Callithrix jacchus: one gene and its partners. The main gene of each other region encodes a partner of the protein of the gene in region 3 in a complex. Links are inferred from orthologs where the notes say so. Each region holds a gene or a part of one and is shown on either strand. Other genes may lie near its edges.

What was found.
Region 1: the proteins of RPTOR (region 3) and EIF4EBP1 are in contact, whole or in part, in a cryo-EM structure (PDB 6BCX), measured with the Homo sapiens proteins. The link is inferred for Callithrix jacchus from reciprocal best matches to the Homo sapiens genes RPTOR and EIF4EBP1. Residues at the interface, in NP_065812.1 of Homo sapiens: Arg54, Arg305, Thr317, Asp321, Phe337, Arg338, Leu341, Ala344, Arg348, Leu437, Gln438, Leu440, Leu441, Ser442, Gln443, Arg446, Tyr475, Lys478, Leu479, Gln481; in NP_004086.1 of Homo sapiens: Glu111, Ser112, Gln113, Phe114, Glu115, Met116, Asp117, Ile118.
Region 2: the proteins of RPTOR (region 3) and MTOR are in contact, whole or in part, in a cryo-EM structure (PDB 6BCU), measured with the Homo sapiens proteins. The link is inferred for Callithrix jacchus from reciprocal best matches to the Homo sapiens genes RPTOR and MTOR. Residues at the interface, in NP_065812.1 of Homo sapiens: Phe278, Lys282, Cys283, Ser285, Leu286, Pro288, Gln380, Ala381, Asp383, Leu384, Asp387, Glu411, Gln412, Thr414, Ala415, Val418, Trp419, Thr421, Met422, Arg427, Asn428, Glu431, Gln432, Lys973, Ile974, Asp979, Leu980, Glu981, Ser982, Lys986; in NP_001373429.1 of Homo sapiens: His597, Thr600, Pro632, Val644, Ser645, Gln646, Thr647, Ala648, Val649, Ala653, His686, Ala688, Gln689, Glu691, Met721, Asn722, Pro723, Ala724, Phe725, Met727, Pro728, Phe729, Arg731, Lys732, Leu734, Ile735, Leu738, Thr739, His743, Tyr771.
Region 4: RPTOR (region 3) and MAPKAP1 share a complex: the UniProt entries of both Homo sapiens proteins name them as parts of the mechanistic target of rapamycin complex. The link is inferred for Callithrix jacchus from reciprocal best matches to the Homo sapiens genes RPTOR and MAPKAP1.
Region 5: the proteins of RPTOR (region 3) and ZFYVE28 are in contact, whole or in part, in a cryo-EM structure (PDB 9F43), measured with the Homo sapiens proteins. The link is inferred for Callithrix jacchus from reciprocal best matches to the Homo sapiens genes RPTOR and ZFYVE28. Residues at the interface, in NP_065812.1 of Homo sapiens: Arg54, Arg305, Arg306, Thr317, Asp321, Phe337, Arg338, Leu341, Ala344, Arg348, Leu437, Gln438, Leu440, Leu441, Ser442, Gln443, Arg446, Pro474, Tyr475, Lys478, Leu479, Gln481, Ser482, Ser483, Ala484; in NP_066023.2 of Homo sapiens: Arg399, Val400, Phe401, Phe402, Met403, Asp404, Asp405, Val406, Glu407.
Region 6: RPTOR (region 3) and RICTOR share a complex: the UniProt entries of both Homo sapiens proteins name them as parts of the mechanistic target of rapamycin complex. The link is inferred for Callithrix jacchus from reciprocal best matches to the Homo sapiens genes RPTOR and RICTOR.

The regions. Positions count from the first base shown.
Region 1 is NC_133514.1:38,881,781-38,885,772, forward strand, and holds the start of EIF4EBP1 (eukaryotic translation initiation factor 4E-binding protein 1), read left to right. Parts: upstream 1-1,192; 5' UTR 1,193-1,254; coding exon 1,255-1,399; intron 1,400-3,992. UniProt on the Homo sapiens protein: Repressor of translation initiation that regulates EIF4E activity by preventing its assembly into the eIF4F complex: hypophosphorylated form competes with EIF4G1/EIF4G3 and strongly binds to EIF4E, leading to repress translation.
Region 2 is NC_133508.1:49,110,241-49,113,740, reverse strand, and holds part of MTOR (serine/threonine-protein kinase mTOR), read left to right. Parts: intron 1-32; coding exon 33-161; intron 162-857; coding exon 858-1,102; intron 1,103-2,450; coding exon 2,451-2,666; intron 2,667-3,010; coding exon 3,011-3,216; intron 3,217-3,500. UniProt on the Homo sapiens protein: Serine/threonine protein kinase which is a central regulator of cellular metabolism, growth and survival in response to hormones, growth factors, nutrients, energy and stress signals.
Region 3 is NC_133506.1:136,242,674-136,246,667, forward strand, and holds the start of RPTOR (regulatory-associated protein of mTOR), read left to right. Parts: upstream 1-1,194; 5' UTR 1,195-2,000; coding exon 2,001-2,162; intron 2,163-3,994. UniProt on the Homo sapiens protein: Component of the mechanistic target of rapamycin complex 1 (mTORC1), an evolutionarily conserved central nutrient sensor that stimulates anabolic reactions and macromolecule biosynthesis to promote cellular biomass generation and growth.
Region 4 is NC_133502.1:174,287,735-174,291,874, reverse strand, and holds the start of MAPKAP1 (target of rapamycin complex 2 subunit MAPKAP1), read left to right. Parts: upstream 1-1,340; 5' UTR 1,341-1,599; intron 1,600-3,525; 5' UTR 3,526-3,585; intron 3,586-4,140. UniProt on the Homo sapiens protein: Component of the mechanistic target of rapamycin complex 2 (mTORC2), which transduces signals from growth factors to pathways involved in proliferation, cytoskeletal organization, lipogenesis and anabolic output.
Region 5 is NC_133504.1:190,791,461-190,795,410, reverse strand, and holds the start of ZFYVE28 (lateral signaling target protein 2 homolog), read right to left. Parts: upstream 2,801-3,950; 5' UTR 2,615-2,800; coding exon 2,507-2,614; intron 214-2,506; coding exon 73-213; intron 1-72. UniProt on the Homo sapiens protein: Negative regulator of epidermal growth factor receptor (EGFR) signaling. Acts by promoting EGFR degradation in endosomes when not monoubiquitinated.
Region 6 is NC_133503.1:166,483,959-166,488,169, forward strand, and holds the start of RICTOR (rapamycin-insensitive companion of mTOR), read left to right. Parts: upstream 1-1,411; 5' UTR 1,412-1,433; coding exon 1,434-1,482; intron 1,483-1,652; coding exon 1,653-1,700; intron 1,701-4,211. UniProt on the Homo sapiens protein: Component of the mechanistic target of rapamycin complex 2 (mTORC2), which transduces signals from growth factors to pathways involved in proliferation, cytoskeletal organization, lipogenesis and anabolic output.

The DNA of each region.
Region 1 (3,992 bases), on a different chromosome or scaffold from region 3:
TATCGTTCCAAAAAAACAACTCTAATCATGTCATTCCCCCGCTTAAAAGAGTTCTGATGTCTCCTGCCTCTCTAAGACAACGTCCAAGCACTTTGACATGATTTGAAAAACTCAACGACCTGACCCCAATTTCCTTTTTGAAAAATTATTACGTATTTTTTAGAGATAAGGTCTCTGTCCAAGGAGGAGTGTAGTGGTGTGATCACAGCTCACGGGAGCCTCCAACTTCTGGGCTCAAGCAATCCTCCAGCCTCAGCTTCCTAAGCAGCTGGGATTACAGGTGCATCACCCAATTTCCCTTTCGAACCGTCCTCTCTTCTTCACCCTCTTCCCCACAACATGTGCACACAATGATAGGAACTTCTCAAACCCAACAAGTTTTTCCATCCTCGGTCCTTCTTGCATTTTTCTCTCTCCCCTTGAACATCATCCATGCATGCATCCATTCATCCAGCAAAGAGTACCTACTAAACATCCGTCAATTCAACCAAGAAGTACCTACTAAACCTCAGGCAGTGGCGTGGGTATTGGACCCAATTCAGGGGCTATCGGGAAACCTTTTGGACAAACTATTACTCCTCCCCTACGCGTCCCCCCTCCCGGCCGCCCCCAACTCTAAATTTAGCTCCCAGGACGCTGCTGGTTGGTTCACTCCTCCCACCCCTTCTCTTCCTCTCTAAAGGCCAGGAGCGGAATTGTTAGTCCCTCCACACCCATCCCCATCAAGGTCAAGAAATTGAGGTGGGGTGAGCATGACCAGTCAATCCCACTTTCTCATCTGAGGAACTGAGGCAACGAACAGGGAGTGCCAAAGGGTACACCCGGCCTGAAGTCTTAATGCAGAAACCGGGCCTTCCTGCAGTGGGCCGGGTCAGCTCGGATCTCCGCGCGGTCCTGAGTCACCGCCCCCAACCCAGACAAGGATTAACATAGGCGAGCTATTCCGCCCGCCACCCAACCCGGGTCCCTGCCAGAGTGGCGCCGAGGGACCCGAGAGCGGAGGAGCAGTCGCTGGGGGGCGGTATGGAGGAGCCCGTGAGCAGGCGGGCGTGGATCGGGGGGCGGCAGGAGAATCCACGTGCAAGCAGCGGCCTGGAGCTGGGTGGGGCTGCGGCGCGGACTACAAATCCCAGGGGCGTGGGCCTGGAGAGGCGGAAGGGGCGTCCTGGGGCGGGGCGGGCCGGGGCGAGGCGGAGCGAGGCTGCAGGCGCGGGAGGGCAGGGAGAGGTTCGCGGTTGCAGCGCACAGGAGACCATGTCCGGGGGCAGCAGCTGCAGCCAGACCCCAAGCCGAGCCATCCCCGCCACTCGCCGGGTGGTGCTCGGCGACGGCGTGCAGCTCCCGCCCGGGGACTACAGTACGACCCCCGGAGGCACGCTCTTCAGCACCACCCCGGGAGGTAGGCGCTGGCTCGGGGACGCCGCGTGCCGGCTCCCGGGAGGGCGGGAGGATTGGGAATCGCGGATCGGACCGGGCGTCCAGGCTAAAGGGTGCTGTGGCTGGGAAGAACGGAGAAGGGGCGTCGGGGAGACAGCGAGGGTCATGGAAGTGACCGCCCGGCTGTCCTCCGAGTGCGTCGTCCAGACCGGAGCTGCAAACTGCCCCGTTCGTTTCCTCTTTCTGTTAGGTGTCAGACAGCTGACACCTAACTAACAAGCACGCCTCCAGGACTGCCACGTGCCGAGCTGTGCTGCCCCTTGTGGATGTTGGGGGCGCTCCCCAGGCGGGATAGGGCGGGGTCAGTGTGGCCCACGATCCAAGAAAGGCTCGGCCTGGTGTTTTTATGGGATGAGTTGGGATAAATTTATTATTTATCTGTTGGGATAAATGATTTCTACAGGGCCCTGATTTTTTCCCGAGGCACCCCTAGTTTTGCGTTGGACACTCGCGCTCTGACGGAGGTTTGGGTCTGCGGGTGCTCCCCTGCTCCAGCAGCACCTCCCGGGCACCTGTGGCACGTTCCCCATTTATGCAAGTGAGATCTCCGCGGAGGGGCCTGTCGCCACGGGCCGGGCTGTGCAGAAAAGCACGTTCTTCTGTCCGGGGGGAGGAGGAGGCACCGTGTGACCTCCCTGGGAGAGGATGAGGAAGAGGAAGCTGAGCTGGCACGGGTGGGGTGGACAGCCTCGGGCTGCCCTCAGGAACCTGGCATTCCCTCCCAGCCCCGGAGCCGCAGCGCACAGGCGCTGATGAAACCTACGCTCCTGTTTGCATGATGAAATAAATCCTCGTGGCTCACCACTTCGGTCCCATCCTTGCACTGCCCCCACTCCTTTTGCTCCTCTGCCTCCATCCTCCTCCACGCTGCTTTCCAAACTACTGGAAAACGCGACAGATCCCGGCGCTTGGCTCGGTGGCGGTGGGGGCCAAATGCTTATTTTCTCAGGCAGATTCTGCCCCACCGGCAGCAAGCACAGCCGGATCCGAGGTCCTCTGCCGTTCGATCCAAAACATACACTGTTAGAACGGTTAGGGATCTTGTCCAACTCTGCCGCCTGTTCTACAGAGCCAGGCACTGAGGCCTCAGAGCTGGAACACGTGTCCATTGTCACACCGTTTTCCCAGATTGGGCAAGAAATAGCAACCAGGCAGAGAAAGGAGGAATGCTTCCTCTTCTGTTAGAAATGATCCGAGGAGAAGCTTGCAGGCGCTCTTGTTGCCACTCCCGACTCATCCTCTTTCACTTGTAGTCCATGCTGTTCTCCTTTGTCTCTGTCACAATGGTCTACCAGGCCAATTCCTGACACTTTTGGAGTTCTTTCAACTGAGGGGGTAAGTGTCTGCTGGATTCGTTCAGGGTGGGCCCTGAGGCTGGCCTGAAGGAACAGGGAGCCTCTTTTTGCACCCTTTGTTGCTGGATTGTTGGGTCAAATTAGAAGCCAGGGATACTGTTTATAGGCACTTCTGGCCGAGGTACCAAGATTCATGCCTGTAATCCCAGCATTTTGGGGAGGAGCCAAGGCAGGAGAATTGCTTTAGGCCAGGAGTTCAAGACCAGCCTGGGCAACATAGTGAGATGCCATCTCTACAAAAAAAAAACAAACAACAACAAAAAGAATGTTGTCCTAGCTACTCCAGAGGCTGAGGCCAGAGGATCGCTTGAGGCCAGGAATTGGAGGCTGTGGTGAGCTATGATTGACCACTGCAGACCTTATCTCTAAAATAAATAATAAATGTAAAATATAGGAACTTTGAATCCACTTTTCACTTTGGATTGGGAAGTGGAGAGTAGTCAGGGGGCTGACAGCAAATCCCACTCACTTTGAAGGTCTTTAGCAGTAGCAGGAAGGGAGAAGGGGCTTCTGCATTGGGACATGGCATATGTTTCTGAGATTACTGGAAGAAGCTAGCAGTGCCAGGAACCTAAAGCCAGCTCACTCTTTGGGGCGGCCTGTGGAGCAGGTACAGCTCCCAGTCCCTAAGCCAGGGAAATCCGGCTTACTTCTACTAAAGTCAAGCAAGCCTGGTCAGCCTCGATTAGCCAAGGTGTGGACTCTTCCTCCAAAGCCCACCTTAGCCCACTTCTGCCAGGGCAGAGAAGCTGAAATGGTCACATCCTGGGACCCTTTGGCTCCAGACCAGAATACTGCCTCTCACTCTTCCAGGTGCATAAGGATAACTGGGGTCTTCATTTAAGGTATATTCTGATTCTGTAGGTGGGGGTGGGGACTAGATTCAGCATTTCTTTTCTTTCTTTCTTTCTTTTCTTTCTTCCTTCCTTCCTTTCTTTTTTTTTTTTTTTTTTGAGACAGGGTCTCCTCTGTCGCCCAGGCTGGAATGCTGTGGTGCGATCTTGGCTCACAGCAACCTCCACCTCCTGGGTTTAAGCGATCCTCCCACCTCACCTCCCTGATACCTGGGACAACAGGCACATGCCACCCATGCTGGCTAATTTTTGTATTTTTTGGTAGAGACGGATGTTACACCATGTTGGGCAGGCTGGTCTTCAACTTCTGACCTCAAGTGATCTGCCCGCCTCTGCCTCCCAAAGT
Region 2 (3,500 bases), on a different chromosome or scaffold from region 3:
GTTTCAACTAGTCACTGTCTGTTTCTCTGCAGGAGGCAGAAGGCAATGCAAGTGGATGCCACAGTCTTTACTTGCATCAGCATGCTGGCTCGAGCAATGGGGCCAGGCATCCAGCAGGATATCAAGGAACTGCTGGAGCCCATGCTGGCAGTGGGACTAAGGTGGGTGTCAGAAACCTGAGCTTGCCCTGTATCAGTGTGAGGTTTGGTCCGCAGTGTTGGGACTGGGTTAAAAGAGGGAGGCATGGTTGTTTGCACATTCAAAATGTGTTTTGCTTAGACAAAACACATAGGCTAGTACTGAATCCTAGTTTCATCACTAGCTAGCTATGTGATCTTGACTAAGTTATTTAATATCCCCGAGCCTCATTTTTTTTTATCTGAAAAGTGGGTACAGTAGTAATTCCTGTTGTCTAAGGTTGCTGTGGATTCATGATACAGTCATTCTTAGGACCATGCCTGGCGTATAGGAAATGTTCAATAAATATTTACAAATATTGTTTATATTATTATTAGGCAAGTTGCTTAAGCTCCCTAAACTATAGTTCTTTTCATCTGTAGAATAAGGACAGTGTTCTTGATCTGCTTGCCAGAGTGTTTGTTGAGTCTTGGTATTCTGTAGTGGCTGAATTATAATGAGCAAGTCTTCCTGTGGCAAGAACCAGAAACTCATAGATTGTTTAGAGACCTGAGACTAAGCAAAGAGAGTTTACACATTTATTCTCATTTCATAGTATCCTTTCTACTCTAAAGAACAGAGGCCTGATCCCCTTGCTGGGAGAGAAAGGCTGTTTCTTCCCAAGAACAGACTGAGTGTCATGTGCTCAACCCTTATGTGACTGGTTTCCTTCCCTTTAGCCCTGCCCTCACTGCTGTACTCTATGACCTGAGCCGTCAGATTCCACAGCTAAAGAAGGACATTCAAGACGGGCTACTGAAAATGCTGTCCCTGGTCCTTATGCACAAACCCCTCCGCCACCCAGGCATGCCCAAGGGCCTGGCCCATCAGCTGGCCTCCCCTGGGCTCACGACTCTCCCTGAGGCCAGTGATGTGGGCAGCATCACTCTTGCCCTCCGAACACTTGGCAGCTTTGAATTTGAAGGTAAGAAATTACAGTGGCTCTTGTCAACATAGTGAGAGATGCTGGAAACTTTGGGAAAGGAATGAAGGTATCTAGGATTCCTGGATCTTGCCGGGGTCCTAGAGACAGGGTAACTGATTCTGTAGCAGCTCATCCTTCCTAGACTCTTTCCATGTATTGGTAATTCCTATTGTTTGTTTCTTGTCCCATTCTGAGTTTTGGGGCAGTTGGTTTGAGGGAAAGTACACATTGATCCAAAGAAATAATGCTTCAGAGACAGATCCCCCTCACATCCTCACTTTTCTACTTCCTTGTAGCTGAGATGGTATGTAATGATTTAGAATGTATAACAAGGGCTTTTGGGTGTTTCCATGTCTATAGCAGTATGATTTCTTTTTTCTTCCTTTTTTTTTTTTTTTTTGAAACAAAGTCTCTTTCTGTCACCCAGGCTTGTATGCAGTGGCACGATTTCAGCTCACTGCAACCTCCGCCTCCCGGGTTTAAGTGATTCTCCTGCCTCAGCCTCCCAAGTAGCTGGGACTACAGGCACGTATCACCACACCCGGCTAATTTTTGGATTTTTGGTAGAGATGGGGTCTCACCATGTTGGCCAGGCTGGTTTCGAACTTCTGACCTCAAGTGATCTGCCTGCCTCGGCTCCCCAAAGTGCTGGGATTACAGCTGTGAGCCACTGTGCTCAGCTAGCGATATGATTTCTAAAAGTACTTTATTGTGTAGTTCTAAACTGCAAATAAACCCACTAATACCCCACAGAGGTATATTTCAAGAGAAAAGTTCATACTTTTGAAATTTAAGATCATGTAGGTAGTATTGGTCAAGACTGGGGAAACACGCACAGAAAGCCTGAAGATACTGTCTGGAGACAGCCACCTGTGGTTTCTCTATTGCAGTTCCTCCGCTTACACTGATTCACACTTGTGATAATTTATTTCTAGTGAATAGAAAGTAGCTATGCTTAAACCCAGCTTACGTAGACTCTTTGTCTGGTATTTAGATCTGGGAACCAAAACAGGCAAGGTAAATTTGACAAGAATTGCATTACCCTCTGAGAATGGTAGGGGTTGAGTTGGAATAAAATGAAATAATTTATTCTTTGAAGGGAATATAAAAAGGCTAGGGTTGAGAGATACTTTTTATCTCTCCCTGTTCCCTCACCACCCCCTTTTGCCTTTTGCTGATTGAAAGTCCACTTGTTATCCTTTAAGAATTCTGGGTCAGTATCATTGATCAGTATCTGGTTGAAAGTAGAACTAGTAGCCTCAAAATGGAAAATTCACCTAGCAAACTGCAGACCTGCCTGTCCACAGCAGCAGTGTTTATTCTGTTTTCTCTCTGCCTTTCTATCCAGGTCACTCTCTGACCCAATTCGTTCGCCACTGTGCAGATCATTTCCTGAACAGTGAGCACAAGGAGATCCGCATGGAGGCTGCCCGTACCTGCTCCCGCCTGCTCACACCCTCCATCCACCTCATCAGTGGCCATGCTCATGTGGTTAGCCAGACTGCAGTGCAAGTGGTGGCAGATGTGCTCAGCAAACTGCTCGTGGTTGGGATAACAGATCCTGGTAAGGCTTCTGAGACAGAAGCCATCTAGGGGAGTTTAGGAGCTTAGGGCAGCTGGAAGTAGCCAGTTTCATCACATGGCCTCTCCAGAGATCTTCGGTCTCAACAAGTTGATATTCAGCTATTTCTCTGCCACGGTGTTAGGCGTGGCTACTCCAGCCTGTTGGTGTAAGATAATGTCTTTAATTCATTTGTCTTTACTCCTATGAGTAGAGAAAAGAATGACAGAGGATAGATGAGAGAAAGCATCTGGAATCTTCCCACTATGCTGATAGCAGTGGAGGTAGAGAAGGGCTGGAGTGATGGGGTCATGAAGAAATGTTCAAAGGCTCCATTGCTCTTGCAGACCCTGACATTCGCTATTGTGTCTTGGCGTCCCTGGATGAGCGCTTTGATGCACACCTGGCCCAGGCGGAGAACTTGCAGGCCTTGTTTGTGGCTCTGAATGACCAGGTGTTTGAGATCCGGGAGCTGGCCATCTGCACTGTGGGCCGACTCAGTAGCATGAACCCCGCCTTTGTCATGCCTTTCCTGCGCAAGATGCTCATCCAGGTAACCGGGATGATGGTCAGACCCACAGGCAGGGAGCACAGGATTCTCACTGTGAGAGCTGCTTGAGGAAGCAGAGTTGAGGACAAGGATGGGGGAGAAAGATTGAGGTACCTGGGAAAAGTCACCTTTGTCTGCAAGGGTTCACATGTTTCCCTGGCTTTATAGTGGCAATTCCAGTGCTCATCACCTCATGAGCCTTTTGTTAGTATGAGTCCCCTCATGCAGCTCTTTATTCTTCCTGGCAACTCAGTCACCAGTGATCCCATTTCTTGGCCCTCTTTGCT
Region 3 (3,994 bases):
CCAGGTGCTTCTGACATCAAAGCCCCAGTGCAGAAAGGAAATGAGCCTCTTTGCCTTGTCCCCGATGCCAAAGCCCCAGCGCAGAGGGGAAATGAGCCTCTCTGCTTGTCCCCTGCTTTGCTGGTCGGCCTCAAGGGTGGCACACTAGACATTCGGTTTAGCCGAAGCAGGCACTGCATGTTACGTTAGGGTTTATATTCCAACTTACGCAGTTCTCTGTATGTTGTACACGAGCCAAGGTTCCTGGATTGAAAAAGAGTCACACAAGAGGCTTGCCTCCACGCACAGAAATCCAGAGTTTTAGATATCTGCACGTGAAGCTATATCAACATAAGAATAAACTACTAATACCAAGAAGTGGGGAAAAAATTTAAAAGGATAAAACTCTCAGAAATGAGATAGATCAAATTTTAAAAAATGTATTCGATGAAATTTTTTTTCACTTTCTTTCTTTTTCTTTTTTTTTTTCAAGACGGAGTCTCGCTCTGTCGCCAGGCTGGAGTGCAGTGGCGCGATCTTGTCTCACTGTGACCTCCGCCTCCCGGGTTCCAGCGATTCTCCTGCCTCAGCCTCCTGAGTAGCTGGGATTACAGGTGTGCGCCACCACACTGAGCTAATTTTTGTATTTTTAGTAGAGACAGGGTTTCACCATGTTGGCCAGGATGGTCTCGATCTCCTGACGTCGTGATCCGCCGGCCCCGGCTTCCCAAAGTGCTGGGATTACAGGCGTGAGCCACTGTGTCCGACCTCTCACTCGGTTTCCTATGAAAAAATTAAAGAGAAAATCTGATTGACACTGTGGAGGCTACTACACTAAAAAAAAAAAAAAAAAAAAAAAAAAAAAGCACTATCTTTTCTAATGCTATAAATGGTTTTTCCTGAAGCTTTTGCCGCTTTTTCAAAATCTGGAAGAAACAGGGTGGTCGATTCCTTTAATTTGAGGAGCCTGTAACAATGTTTTTGAAAAAACAAACTGACAGTTTGTTTTGTTTTGTTTTGTTTTGAAAATGACAGTTTCATTTGTAGGACTGACTTTAATAACACGCCTCTATGGAACGAACGGCGATGAACTGGGGAAAATGGAATTATGGTAACCGAGGTAACGGGGTCGGGGACTCCCCTTCCTCTGCCTCTTGCTGGTGGCGCGGCGAGAACGCTCTGAGGAGGTTTGGTCTGTTGGCCACGCCGTAGGTCGCGGTGCATTCTGGGTCCTGGCAATATGGCGTCCTCCTTAGTGTGCTGATGAGAGGAGTTTCACTGTACCTCCAAACCAGAGGGCAAAACTCCCCTGACCCAATAAGCCCACATTGTCCTTTTTCTCCGTGGTTCCGTGTCACCTGTTTCTCAGGACTCGTTCTCACGCATCAGAGAGCCTCGGGGCTGAAGGCCAGGACCAGCCAGGCCGCGCGGACCTAAGGTTGAGGAACCGGGTGCGGGCGAGCACGATGGGCCGGTCCTGGCTCTGGTTGCAGCAGCTCAGGCGAGTGCGGGACCCGCAGGGCTGAGAGTGGCTAGAGGAGACCCAAGGCCCTCTGAACCCGATCCCTTGGCCGGAGACCTCAGCCCAGTCGGCCCAGTGGGCGAACCAGCACCAGGAGCGGCCTGCCTGTCCTCGGATCTGCTGAGGCGTTGGAGGCCGAGAGCAGGGTCATCGTGAGGCCTGAAGTCTCTCACGCTTTTGACAGCTCGGCTCGCAGCCCCTCTGGAAACGTACAGCCTCAGGAGCAGCCAGTGGCTTGGGACCTGGGGTGGTGTGTGTCTGCGGAGCTTCTTGGGCTGCCCCATTTTCCAGCGGCCCCCTCCCCGCCTCCCGCTCAGAGTTAGAAATAAGGATCTCAGACTTTTTGCCTGAGTAAGGGTCTCCGCACTCTCCATCCCTTTCTTTTTCGATTCTCCGTTTTGCTGTTTCTTATTTCACCAATTCTGGTACACACTAGTTTTTAAGGCTGGAGGTTCTCGAGCGCTTACTGCCAAGGACTCCCCCACCCCCTCCCCCACTGATGGAGTCCGAAATGCTGCAGTCGCCTCTTCTGGGCCTGGGGGAGGAAGATGAGGCTGATCTTACAGACTGGAACCTACCTTTGGCTTTTATGAAAAAGAGGCACTGTGAGAAAATTGAAGGCTCCAAATCCTTAGCTCAGAGCTGGAGGATGAAGGATCGGGTAAGTGGATTCTGATGACACCCCTTGAACTTGGTAGTTTCTCCAACAACGAAAGTTTACAGCTCGAAAAGTGTCCTTAGTAAAGCGCCAGCATTTCCCCTAAGCCACACGTTGTAAGTCGACTAGAAAGCAAAAGCCATTTCAGACTGCAGTTTTTGATTGAAAATGGGAAAGGCTGTTTTGGTTCGTCGTTATTCACTGTGCAGTGTTAATTCAATTCCAACTAAGTTCTAATTCAGACAATAAAAGTTAAGCAAATTTGAAAATACAGCATTGCGAGTGTTACATGCTCTTTGGCAACTACTTAGTTCCGTTAACACTGAGATTCACAACGTGCGATATAATGCTTATACCCACATGGTTAGTCTACTTGTAAAAATATCCAGGGTGGGTGGGTGAAGTGAAGAAGTCTGATATACTAGATTAGGAAACAAGAATACTGGAAAATGTTCAACTAGTAACAAATTAGTGCAGTTATTTTAAAGATACAGTGAACTTCATTCTAGTCTTCTAAACAGTTTGTCTTGAAGCTAGACTTCCCTGCTTTTATGTAGTGTCCTGTTGCTGTAACTTGGAGATAGAATTTCTTTAATTGTGCAGTTAGGGTATGAGGGGTTGAGACTTGGGTGCAGGTTTTAGGGTGTCCTCATGGTGTTGGAGTGTGGAGAGTGACTCACAAGCAGCTGGTAGGAAAGAAAGCCGAATTTTGCTGAATCTTTCCTTCATAAAACACTATCAATTTCCTAGTCTAAAAAGCAAAAGGGTGATACTGCTTCTCCTCTGTGGACACTTACAATTTGTCTTTTGGTAAGTATTTTCTCCCTCCAGGCTGCTTTTAATGATTTGCACATTTCAGTGGTATGAAAGAGGAAGTTGGTGTTACAATGTTTGATTTCCTCTAGGCTTATGTATATGTTTATGGAATGTTATTGTTTTTTAGTATATGATGTTGGACATAGATAAGATTATACTGCTGGGCTGAGCATGGTGGCTCATGCCTGTGATCCCAGCACTTTGGAAGGCTGAGGTGGGTGATCACCTGAGGTCAGGAGTTTGAGATCAGCCTGGCCAACATGGTGAAACCCCGTCTCTACTAAAGATACAAAAATTAGCCAGACCTGGTGGTGGTACCTGTAATTCCAGCTACTTGGGAAACTGAGGCTGGAGAATTGGGAGGCAGAGGTTGCAATGAGCTGAGATCGCACCATTGCACTCCAGCCAGGGAGGCAGATTGAGACTGTGTCTCAAAAAAAAAAAAAAAAAGATTACACTTCTGGTAACTCTAGCCAGAAGTCACCAGTAACCAGTACTTTAGTTACTGGGTGGGCTTACTTATAAAAGATTAGGAAAATTTGTTTCATCCAAAAGCAGTTTAAGGAGTTAAATAAGTTAGTCATTGGTGGAGGTTGCATAAATTCTGTCTTATGGCCATCTTCGTTACTAATAATATAGTTAAAAGGCTTTGTGGTTGCTGTACATTTATGAAAAGACTTTTTTTTTCATTCTGTGTGTAGGGTAGTGGTTTTTTTTTGTTGTTGTTCTTTTGAAATGTGGTTCCCTCCTCTGTTCTAAACCTATGTTCCAACTGTTTGAAACTGATTAACAGGTAGATTTTTGAACTTTTAATTAAAACATTAGTTTGTGAATGATCAACAATTCCTAATAAGCTTTTCACAGGTTGCTAAGAGAAACAAAAGTTCTGTTACTTTTAGTAACTATGGAGTTTGCAACTTAGAAAGGAGCCAGGGAGAATGTTTGCTGTTTCTGTTTCCAGTGGAGAAAAACAGCAGCTAATGTCTTCAGTTGAGTTTGTGAGTCTGGAATCTTGTAGT
Region 4 (4,140 bases), on a different chromosome or scaffold from region 3:
ACCACACCTGGCTAATTTATGTAATTTCAGTAGAAATGGGGTTTCACCATATTGGCCTGGCTGGTCTCAAACTCCTGACCTCAAGTGACTTGCCTGCCTCGGCTTCCCCAAGTGCTGGGATTACAGGTGTGAGCCACCGTGCCTGGCCCCATGGCATATTTATTAGTGACTTTAAAATTGGGCAGGGTTCCCCCAGGACTGAAATTTAACCTTGATTTTTTTCTTTTACTATGGTGCTTTTTTTTTTTTTTGAGATGGAGTCTCACTCTGTTGCCCAGGTTGGAGTGCAGTGGCACAATCCCGGCTCGCTGCAACCTCGGCTCACTGCAACTGCTGCCACCTAAGTTCAAGCGATTCTCCTGCCTCTCAGCCTCCCAATTAGCTTGGATTACAGGCCCTCACCAGCACGCCCAGCTAATTTATTTATTTATTTATTTATTTTGGTATCTTTAGTAGAGACGGGGGTTTTAACCATCTTGGCCAGGCTGGCCTTGAACTCCTGACCTCGTGATCCACCCACCTTGGCCTCAAAAAGTGCTGGGATTATAGGTATGAGCCACCACCCCCAGCCACGCTACGGTGCTTTTTTGAGAGACTTCCCAGAGCATCTTTCGGGTGGGAGAACACTCTCACTGCACTGCCCGAATCCTTTTTCCCCCTTCACTGTGGCTTTCTCCACTGATTTCCTCCGTGAGAGAGAAAGAGAGCAGCGTGAGACAACACTAACTTCTGCCTGTGCCAGTCCTCCTGCATCTCATGGAAATCTCCCAGCAGGACCTGAGGAAGATTACTATCACCGCCATATTACAGGTATTATAAGAGAAATAACTAACATTGACTACATGTTTATTATGTATCAGGCACTGTGCTGGGTGATTTTCAAGCATCATCCCATTGGATACTCTAAAGTTGAAACTATTGCTCTGGATGGGAAAACCCGAGGCTCGGAGAGGAGAGTTGTCACGTCCTAGGACACACAGCAAGTTATAAGAGCTGGCATATCTGAACCTAAGTCTTTCTGATACAGAGGCTAAACTGCCTCATCACTCATTTCTGGACTAACTAAGGGTTTTTCTCCGTGGAAATGGGGAGAAAGAAGATTCGATGGAGAAGCGTAACACTGATTCCTGCTAAAGGCAAATCCAGACACGAGTGCATCTTGCCAGAATTCAGCCTCAGACTCAGGCCTTCTCCTGCATTGGAGAAGCGGCGCGCATGCGCCCGGCCTCCCTCCCGGCCCCGCCCCGCGGGAAGCTGTGGCCGCTTGCTTTCAGCTCTGGGGCTTGCGCACTACGTCCCCAGCCAGAGGCTCCTTCCCGGTCGGGGACTTCCGGAGCGCCGGGGTGTGGTTCCGGGTCGTGTGCGGCTTGGGGTAATAGGGCTGCTGCTCGGCCGGCCGGCGGCGGCGGTTGTGAGCACCACGGGCATGAGGGCGAACCCGGGAAGCGGCAGCTGAGCGGGCCGGGAGGAGCGCCGGTCCCCGTGGATCCCGAGAGTGCAGAGCTCGGGGAAGGGGCCGGGAGGCGTGGGGGAGCCGGGCCCTCCCCTCAGGAACGTGTCCCGGGGCCGACCCGGCCCGTAGTGTGGAAGCAGCTTCAGGTAAAGGTTGCCCCAGCCGCCAGCTCCCCGCTCGCCCGTCAGCCCACCAGCTTGCCCACCTGGCGACCCTCTCACCTCTCCGGTTTCGGCGCTGCTCAGCGGGCCGCCTGCCGGGCTCCTGCTCAGGTGGCCCGGGAGCATCCGTTTCCTGGCCTTTACCAGAACTGGGGACTGTCAGGAGTCTGAGGCGGGTGTGTGATTTAGGGGAAGGGAAGCCCATGGACCTGGTAGTGTTCGGGAGTAGCGGGGGCGGGGTGGGGAGGGTGCAGTTGGCTCCGGCAGTTTCTGGTCTTGCACTTGGCAATATCTAGGTGCCCTGGTCTTTATAATGTGAAAATCAAGGTTTTCAAGCATTGCCTGTGTGGTCCTTTTTCCTTGTGTCCCTTTTCCTCCTCGCCCTAAAGGGGTTAACAGCCTCGCAACTACAGTGCTGCTGAACTTTGATTCAATTGTTTGTTTATGGGAGTGGCAAGGAGTCCTTTAGATTTGTTTAAGGCGGGGGGAAAAGAAGAGCTTGTGGTGTAAACAAGAGTATGATTTTAACCAGAGACCCCCAAATCAACCCAGAAATTGGTTAAAATTTCCTTTTGAATGAGTGAAAAGTAACTTTTGAAGCCCACCACAGCTTCTGGCACTGTGCAAAGCACCATATTGTTATAAACCCAAATCGGCAAAGTTCAAAACTTTCCCAGGTGTGAACAGTCAAATGGAGACACATCGGTTTAAAAAAAGCAGCGTTCTCATTCTCTTGACAAGCAGAAGGGGTGGATTCCTAATGTTAAAACCCACTTGAGCAGAATGGGAGGTACCGTTTTATTCTTTATATTTTATGAGCCCATACAAGGTGCCTAGTAAACACTGAAAGAGTTCTTGATGAAGCAATAATTGTTTTCATGTTTTTCAGTTCACACAGCTGCGGGATGTGAAGCATGCTGGTAGCCCTTTCCCATTCAGCTGAGTGCTCATGCCTACTTTAAATACTGTGTGTACCAGACTGCACTTATATTCCCTTACATCTCGGAATCTGGCTCCTGGTTACCTTCCCAGTTATGCTTGAAAAGGTTTTCTTTTTTGAGAGGGAGTGTAGCTCTTGTTGCCAGGCTGGAGTGCAATGGCGCTCACTGCAGCCTCCGCCTCCTATGTTTAAGCAATTCTGCTGCCTCAGCCTCTCGAGTAACTGGTACAGGCGTGCGCCACCACACCTGGCTAATTTTGTATTTTTAGTAGATATGGGGTTCTCCATATTGGTCAGCCTGGTCTCAAACTCCCAACTTCAGGTGGTCTGCCTTGGCCTCCCAAAGTGTTGGGATTACAGGCATGAGCCACCGTGTCTGGTCAAGGTCTCCTTCTTTAATTACCCTACCTGATCCATTACTCTAAGTAGGATCTCAGTCACTTTTGTTCTTTCTTGTTCCATTGATTTTTTAGGACATTCTCCCTACCCTGCCTAGGTTTCCCCTTTTCTCTATCAAGATGCTTCCCACGGCTCAGCTGAAGTTGGCTGCTCTCAACCAATTCCCGACAACTCCAGCTGGAAATGGTTTTCCTACAGAATTCTATAAGCACTCATTTTATCTACAATTATTTAATTTAGTAAATGTTTACTAAGTATGGATATATACATGCCAGGTACCATGCTAGACAGTGTAGAGATAAATAAGATTCAGTCCTTGCTTCCAGGGAGCTCAATGTAGTGAAACAGAGATAAGGGAAATTAATAATTCTAACAGTGATAAGTACATTGTGTGAGAGTTCTTGTTGTGGCAGTGGTAGTCCAGGAGGGGAATGGGTTATTCACTTTTGAGGGATGGGATGTGGCCAGGTAATGCTTTATAATTTGAGGTAAACTCAACTTTGAGTATTTACTATGTATTGGGTATTATATAGGGATTTCTATTGTTTAATCATTTTAACCTCAATTTACAGATGAGGAAGACTCAATAAATTACACAGCTGGTACCAGACAGAGCCAGGATTCAAAGCCAGGTCTGTCTGATGCCTAAATCTGTGCTTTTTCCATTACATGTCTTGCCTTTGTCTCACACTGTCTCTTTGTGCAAGTAAATATTGAAACAAAAAAGTATACAGGATGAAACATATGAATGTTAAAATGAATGGTACAGAAATCTTTTAAATGCAAAGGCTGTGCTCTTCCAGGGCAAGGAGATGGCAGGTGGATTAGCTCAGCTTTGAATATGAGCAGAGAAGACAGTATAGAAAATAAGCATGGAGTCTGGATTCAATTCCCGGTCCCTGTTCTTACTGGATATGTGACCTTTGACACATAACTCCAAGCATCATTTTCTTCAGCTGGGGGTTGGGTTAGGGAATAATACCACATGGAGTGTTGTGAATATTTATTGAACTAACGGGGATAGAGGGCCTGGTACATGGTAAAGTCCCCCAAAATAAATAGCTATAAGATACAAAGGTATAATGCTTGAGGTATGGTTTTAGAGTGGTGAATGAGTTTACAGCCTGAGTCAAGCAAGTCATTGCTTCTTTTAGCAGGGTAAAGGATGGAAAGTTGGAGGGGCAGTA
Region 5 (3,950 bases), on a different chromosome or scaffold from region 3:
CGCTCTACTGAGGACTGGCCACTCTGTCCAATGCCCAGCGGGGCCAGCCAGCCTCTGCTGCCCATGGCTCACCTGGCAGGAGCGGAACTGGCTGACCAGCAGTGTGCACCGCTGGGGGTCCTTCCGCCCGTCCAGGCTGTCCAGCTCCGCGGCCACCTGGTTCAGCTCCTCGTCGGCGTAGTAGAACCGGGCAAGCAGCTGCGGGTCCGACCTCTGCAGGAGAGAGGGGCCGGGGGCATGAGTGGGTGGGGAAATGGAGGGGACGCCTTGGCCATGTGCGGGCTCAGCCTGGGACCTTCCACACTGAGCAGTAGCTGGCTCTTTCATCAGCTTTCCAGGCCAGGATCTGGAGGGAAACAGCTAAAGCTGAGGCTTGGGCTGCCTGCTCAACCCCTGACCCAAGGGTCCCAGGCCCCCTGCATTTCACCCCAGGGCTGTGGGGAACCCAGACGCTTCGCTACACTTAGGACACAAGATCCTCACGCTCCCTCTCGTGGAGGAGAACCCACAGAAAAGGGGCTCTGGGAAGAGTGGGGTCCCAGGCAAGGAAAGTAGCTCTTAGGGAATTTTTTTTTTTTTTTTTTGAGATGGAGTTTTACTCTTGTTGCCCAGGCTGGAGTGCAATGGCACAATCCCAGCTCACTGCAAACTCTGCCTCTCAGCCTCCCAAGTAGCTGGGGCTACAGGCACCCACTACCACACCTGGCTGACTTTTGTATTTTTAGTAGAGATGGGGTTTCACTTTTCTGGCCAGGTCTCAAACACTGCTGACCTCGTGATCTATTCTCCTTGGCCTCCCAAAGTGCTGGGATTACAGGCTGCTGGGATCATAGGCGTGAGCCATCGAGCCTGGCATATATATATATATATATTTTTTTTTTTTTTTTTTTTTTGAGACAGGGTCTTGCTCTGTTGCCCACACTGGAGTACAGTGGCACAAGCATGGCTCACTGCAATCTCTGCCTCCTGGGCTCAAGAGACCCTCCTGCCTCAGCCTCCTGAGTAGCCGAGACTACAGGCACATGCCAGCACATTCAGCTAATTTTTAATTTTTTCTAGAGTTGGGGCTCCTTGTGTCGCCCAGCCTTGTCTTGAACTCCTGGCCTCAAGCTGCTCTTCCATCCTGGCCTCCCAACGGTGCTGAGATTGTAGAAGTGAGTCACTGTGCCTGGCCTGGACCTACTTTTATCAAAGGGCCTCCTGACAGTCAGAGAGAAAGACAGAGGAGAGGGGAAGGTACCAAATCACTCCCAGTGGGATGTGCTGCCAGTGTCCCCACAGACTCCCATCTCCGTCGGGGCGTTTCCTCCATGTGCTCTGGCCTGCTGCCCTCCCCTTCCCTCTGAGTGGCCTTGGCCAGGGTCACTCTGTCCTGACTTTTTCCCGGTCCACCAGTCCTCACTCTCTGGATCAGCTCCAGGCGCTGGCCCAGACACCTGGGGTGGGGAGAGCAAACCCCAGTGAGGCTGAGCAGACCCACACTCAGCCATCCACTGCCCCGCCTGGGCTTCAGGATGAGGCAGGCACTTGTGACCTGGGCAGCCAATGGGAAGCCTCCCTGGGACTGTTCCCAGGAGGCTGCCGAAGCTCACTGGCAGATGCTGCCTACGTGCCCACTCAGCTAGGGGCGGGTCTGGGCCTGGGACACAGCCCTGAGCAAGACAGACCCAGCCCCAGGCAGTGCATGAGAGATGGGAGGTGGGCTCGGGCTGCCATCTGCTCCCACCCTCTCAGCTCCACTGCTGTGTCCCCGCGCCTCGAGCCTTTCTGGAAGTAAACACATCCTCTCCGATGGCCCAGCCAACCTCGGAGAGCCACGAGGTCACAGTCACCTAGCGACCCACCCTCTGTGAAGAAATGAAAAGAAGAGTGGGGTTGGGAGGCAGGAGACACTCTTACCTTGTTCTATTCTACTCTACTGCCTGGAAGGAAAGAAAGGAAGGCAGGGAACATGAGACCTGAAGGCCCTTCCAGCCCTTCCACTGGGTCAGAGCCCCAGGGAATGCTGTGCCTTTAAGCCTTGTGCCTGTCAACCTACGGACGAGCAGCTGCACCCTTGACCTTTGCCTCGGATGTAGCCCCCATCATTCCTTTTTTTTTTTTTTGAGATGGAGTCTCACTCTGCTACCCAGGCCGGAGTGCAGTGGCATGATCTCAGCTCACTGCAAGCTCCACCTCCCAGGCTCAAGCAATCATCCTGCCTCAGCCTCCCAAATACCTGGAATTACAGGTGTGCGCCGGCACATCCAGCTAATTTTTGTATTTGTAGTAGAGACAGGGTTTCACCATGTTGCCCAGGCTGGTCTCGAACTCCTGACCTCAAATGATCCACCTGCCTGGGCCTCCCAGGGATTACAGGCATGAGCCACCATGCCTGGCCCAGTCCCCAGAATCCTGACCCAGCTTCTGGGGTGGCCACCAGCTTCCCCTCCTGGGCCCCGGGCCTGCCAATGCCCCTCCTCGCTCCCAAGGAAGAGGGGAAGAACCAAGAACGACACCTTCTTACCAGAGGACAGAAGAGCCTTCCTGCCACTTCCGGAACCAGGAGGGAGCACAGCCCCTTGGCAAGGTGGAGTTGCCTGCCCCACCTGGGCAGCCTGCCCAAGGCCTGCATGAGAACTGCTGGGCCTGACACCCAGCTCAGGCACCAGTCCAGGTCAGCAGAGCCACTGGCTTCCTTCTGGCCCCAAACCTGCCAGCTCCCTTCATAGCAGAAGTGGGAGGGTGGGAGAAGCAGGGGCCTGGTGGGGCCAGCCCCGCAGCAGACGCCTGGCTGTGACTGAGCTGGACCAGAGCCCTCACAGTCCCTTGCCGCATGCGTCCCACAGCCCCAACTGCAGCTGATGAGACACCATCTGGCCCAGCAAACAGGCCAGGTACTGAATTTAGGGCACTGCATGACGACAGCTCCCAGAAGCTAAATCTTGGCTCCAAGAAAAAGGACACGACAAGGGGCCCTGCAGAAACCCCCAGAGAGAACCCAGAATCATTCTCTGCTGTGGCACCAAAACACTCACACCACCTAAGGAGTTCACAGCAACACCCGGGTCAACACGGCCCCTGCTGTCAGGCAAACGGAGGAGACAGCTCAGCCACAACGCAGGTGTGTGAAAGGCTGATGGAGGGTGGGGCCATCACACAAAGCCCCGGACCACAGAGCGGGTGCACACACATCCCCTCAGCTCACTCACACAGTTCCTCTCCTGTGCTCTGGAGAGGCTGAGAACCACCACGTGTGTGAGCACATGAACATGTACATGTGTGAGCACGTGTGTACGGTAACTGCATGCCCCGTGCATGGCTGTGTGCGTGTGGATCTGTGCGCTGTGCAGATGTGTGTACATGCACGTGCACCTATGTATCTGTGTGCCTGTGAACGTATGTGCAGGCATGAACATGCGTGCGTGTGTGAACGTGCCCCTGTGGGACCAGTGCAGCAGGTGTCAAGACGAGCTCCCGCAGGGGTGAGGTGTGTGTCTACTTGGCAAGGTAAAAGCTAGAAAGGGGTGCTCATCACCTAAATAAAAGGCACGGGACGTAGGGAACCCTTCAGGGATGGGCCTGGTACTTGACCCCTCCTGGCATGCTTGGTGCCCCTGCAGGGAAACCGATTCCCTGCTGCAGAAGGCAGCCTGGGTGTCTCCTGTGAGGAAGGAAGGGGTCCTGCCTTCCTCTCTTGGGGCAGCTGAAGCCTCTGAAAGGTCTCCCCTTGAGCTGAGGTGTCACTGAGCACACAGGTCGCACTGCCAGGGCTGCTTGCTGGTGGGGTGGGCCTGGTGGCACATGAGGCAGATTTGCTGTGTGACCTTATCATAGGCTAAACTGTGACTGCCCCTCAGGTTCAAAGATTGAAGTCCTAACCCCCAGGACTCAGAATGTGACTGTCTGGAAACTGTATCTCCCCATTTTTTTTCTTTGAGATAGGGTCTTGCTCTATCCCCCAGGCTAGA
Region 6 (4,211 bases), on a different chromosome or scaffold from region 3:
ATTTCGTATGTATTTAAACTTTATAAAAACAGAAAATTTGTAATCTTTGCTTAACATCATGAACATTATTTCCTATTACTATTACTAAGTCTACCTCGTCACTTTAAATGGTTGAGATAATTTACATAATCCCTAACTTTGGACATTTACGTGTTTCCAAATTGTTATTAATAACTTCAATAAATATCCCATATACATATACATATATATATATATATATATATATACATGTATTTTAAAGCAAGCAGAGAATTGGAACAAAGAAGAAATGCAGGGCATTTACTCATCTAACAGGTATTTACTGAATACTTATTTGTGCCAGATATTGCATTAACTAGGAGCTGGTAAAACAGAATGGTTAAAGCAAGATCTCCACTTTTAATTAACTTTCAGTCTTATGGAATAGAAAGATGAGCTGAGGAACTGGAGGGGACAAATCACTCATCCTCTCTTTAAAATAAATGTAGTTTAAGAAAGCTACTGGGTCAGTGGGCAGATGTATATATATTAACTAACTAAGCAGTTTCTAGAATTAAAATCCCTAATGTTAATAGGCTTATGCATACAATAGATTAATCCCCAACATCTGCATGAGCCACGCTCCTAGGACCTACAGAGACAGAAAAGCCGGACACAATACCCAGCAGTCTGGCCTCGATTCCTAGCAAAGGAAACCCCTCTCCCCGGCCTCCCGGCGCTGGCGCGATCCCACCGCGGGGACTGCCGCCCGCGTCCCCCTCCGATGCACCCCCTTCTCGCGTCCTATGCCTGGCGGCCACAAAAAAAAAAAACAAAACCGCCCAACCGCTTCCACTTGGAGAAGCCCTCCTAGCCGAGAGGGGCGTTCTGAAAGATCAAGGGCAAGGCTGGAAAACAAACTTTGTTATGTGTTAACTTGGTCGGAGCAAAGCGATTCCAGGAAGGGAGACTAAAACTGCGCAGCGTTTTTATAAAAATTGTTTCAATGGATGAACGGGGGAGTGGGGCCGTCTACGGCAGGGCTTGAGAGCAAGCAGGACACTCGCAGGCCGGCGATGAGCAGGTGGCCCGCCGGTCGCATCTCGGCCTCCTCCTCCTCCTTGCTCGCCTCCGTTTGGACGACTGCTTCCGCGGCGGCCAGAGGGGAGCATCCTTTACGCTGCCAACTCGCATCAATGGGACTTTCCTCGTGGGAACTGCCCCTCCCGGCGGACTTGCCCTCCGGGTCTGGCGTGGGCGGGCAGGCGGGCAGGCGGGCGCTGCGAACTCAGTGCAGACCTTGGATTTGTTCCGCGCTCCCTCCGCGCCGGGACCGAGCCTACACCACCCGCACAGCCGTCGCCGCCAAGGGGGCGGGGAAGGTGCCGCGGGGGGCGGGCGCGGCGCGCGGGGAGGGGAAGGGGTTCTCGCGCGATTGGGCGAGGTTTCCGGTGTTGTGACTGAAACCCGTCAATATGGCGGCGATCGGCCGCGGCCGCTCTCTGAAGAATCTCCGAGTACGAGGTAAGCCCGCTGCAACCCTCACTCTCCACCGCCCGGCGCCCGCCACCCCCTGGCACTTGCCTTCCCCTGGCCGTGGGTGGGGAGCGAGCCGGGGCGCTGGCCGGAGCCAGGTCAGCCGCAGCTGGCCTGCGAGCGAATCCTAACTGGGGTTGTGTGTCTGTTTCGCGCAGGGCGGAATGACAGCGGCGAGGAGAACGTCCCGCTGGATCTAACCCGAGGTAACGCGGGGCGCCGCGGGCACAGGCGAGGGCGCGCTGCTGGGGAGGAGCCGGGCCCGGGGCTTGGGGCCAGAGGCGGGGGCGGGCCCCACACGGGACCGGCGGGGTGCGGTGGGCAGAGCCGGAGCCCCGCCTGCCCGCGGGAGCCGAGCCCGGGGCCGCCTTGCCGGACCCGCCTCGCCGGACCCATCCCCCTTCCCGGCTCCCGCTTCCCTGGCCCGAGCCCTTCTCCGGGCCTCCGGCTGCTTGCGGGTGCGGGGGAGCCCCGAGTGGAACTCGGCGGACCCGCCGACCCTCTGGGCTCGAACTCCGGCGGAGCGGTTTGCACCTATCCCGGAGTCCGGCAGCCAAGCTGGGGGCAGCCAGAGGGAGGTAAAGGCTGTTATTTAGGTTGCAGGAGGATGTTTGAGGGATGAGCGACCACATCCTGCCCTCCCCATCCCCGGAGCAGAAGCCGGACCTACTCGGTGTTTGCTGACTGCGTGACTCTTTTCCCCTTTGCCCACAGCCCTGTGGGGACCCGCAGCATTGATAACTCGACAGTGAAACCTGGAACTGGTCATTACTGCTAACTGGTTTATGCTGTTTCCCTTCTGCTTCCCTTTCCCGGGCCGCTGGGACTGTAGTTGGCAAAAGACCGCCCCCTCGCCCTGCTGCAGGTTCATTGTTTACCTTCTGCAGTGGAGATGGGTTTGTTTACACCTTTCGAACTGGGGAAACCCGGGTTATATTTTTAATGACCTAATCCGGTTACTAGCCAGTGTTTCTTCTATCACTCACAGTACTAGAGTTTATTCGACATTATCTCGTTGAAGAGTTAGTAGTTACGTACAAGATTCTTTTCTCTTCCACGGTAAACAGGATTTAGTCTACTGATTCTGACGAAGTCATACACGGGCTGTAGCTTGAAGTGTAACCGGGCTAAACTGTGCAGAATCCGTTTCTGAGATCTGTAAAACGCCTTAGGAAGTAAAAACAACAACAACAAAACTTGTTGTAAACATTCTGTATGAGCTATTTTTTACCCTATACTGTGCTTGACGTAATGACTCTTATCTACAGTAATTTGTCAAACCTGGGCTCGTTGTTCGCAATGGCTCATCTCTAGAGGGAAAGCATAGTGTATTTTCTAATTTGTTTTATTTTGCATATCACAGTGTAAGATTACTGTTTTAAAAACTGAATGGTCAGCTTTCATTGGCTACAAGAGTACATGTTTGTTACTTAATATTTTATTCTGAAAGTTCAAGGACTTAGTTTCGGGTGAACTAAGACCTTTTGCAAGCACCGTTTCTAAAATATAATACAATGTAATAGAGCTTAAATCCTGGAAATGGCTGCTAATTAGATTATCAATGCGCTAATTTCCAACGGTTTTTCAGCAGATAGGTTTTGAGAATTAGTATAAAAAGACGTAAAGCTTTTGACTTCTGTACAGCAGTTTGGAAACTTGACTAAATATAACACACGTGAAAAATCTATATAAAATAGATTTACTAGTAAACTTCCTAACAAATAAGGATAATTCCTACAATTTCAGGTTTGTAAAAGATGTAATTAGTGAGTGATTTAATTTTTATAGCGGCATTTCTGTTTTTCGATGAAGGTGAAAGGAGCACTTAAAAAACTTGAGTTTATCTTGTGCATTAAAAACCTGCTTAGATGTGGTGCTGGAAATACATAGTTGTTTTAAATTGAGTTCGTCGAGCTCCTATATATAGTGCTCTGTTTACTATTTAAAATGCTGTATTAACTGAGCATTTAGTAAGCACCTGTGTCCATAGGTGTTTCCAGGTTAATATAAACAGTGCAGAAAATGCTGTTTCTGCTTGCCCTGACAAAATGTACTTCAGTTTGGTATAAAATATACATAGCCACTTAAAACTGATTGCAACAATTGTGAGAGATTGTATGAGATCTGTATTTCTTAATCATAAGAAGTTTAGAATTAATCTGAATTAGTCATTTTATAGTGTTACTATTGTTTTAAAAAGTTGCTGTTGTGACAAACATTTCATTGTTCAAAGTAGGCTTGAAGAAAGTTCATGAGGAATTAAAGTTTAGTAATAATTTGAGAACTGTGAGGCAGTTTGGGTTGCAGCTGAAGGGCAGCTGTTTGTGGATTAGATTACAGTATGTAAAAAGATAAAGTTTGGGGAATGAAAATTTTTTTTTGTTTAACGCCAAGGCAGTGTTTGCTTTTATTCTCATTATTTTAATTTAATCTTTGAGAGATTCATTGTATAGATACCTAATGAAGCTCATTATAAAATAGAGGTCATGGTCATTATAATACCTAAAGGAGCCATCAATGTGTAGTGAAAACATAGTTGACTATAAAATCACATCATTCTGGGTTATAACCTCAGCTGTGAGGTTTAATAGTTGGGTGATTTGGGGCGTTATTTGACCTCGCTTAACCCCTGATTTCTTCATTTCTAAAAGAAGAGATAACTTCAAAGGGTTATTAAGAATGTGAAAAGTGAATGAGCTAGTTGTTCATTAAAGTAC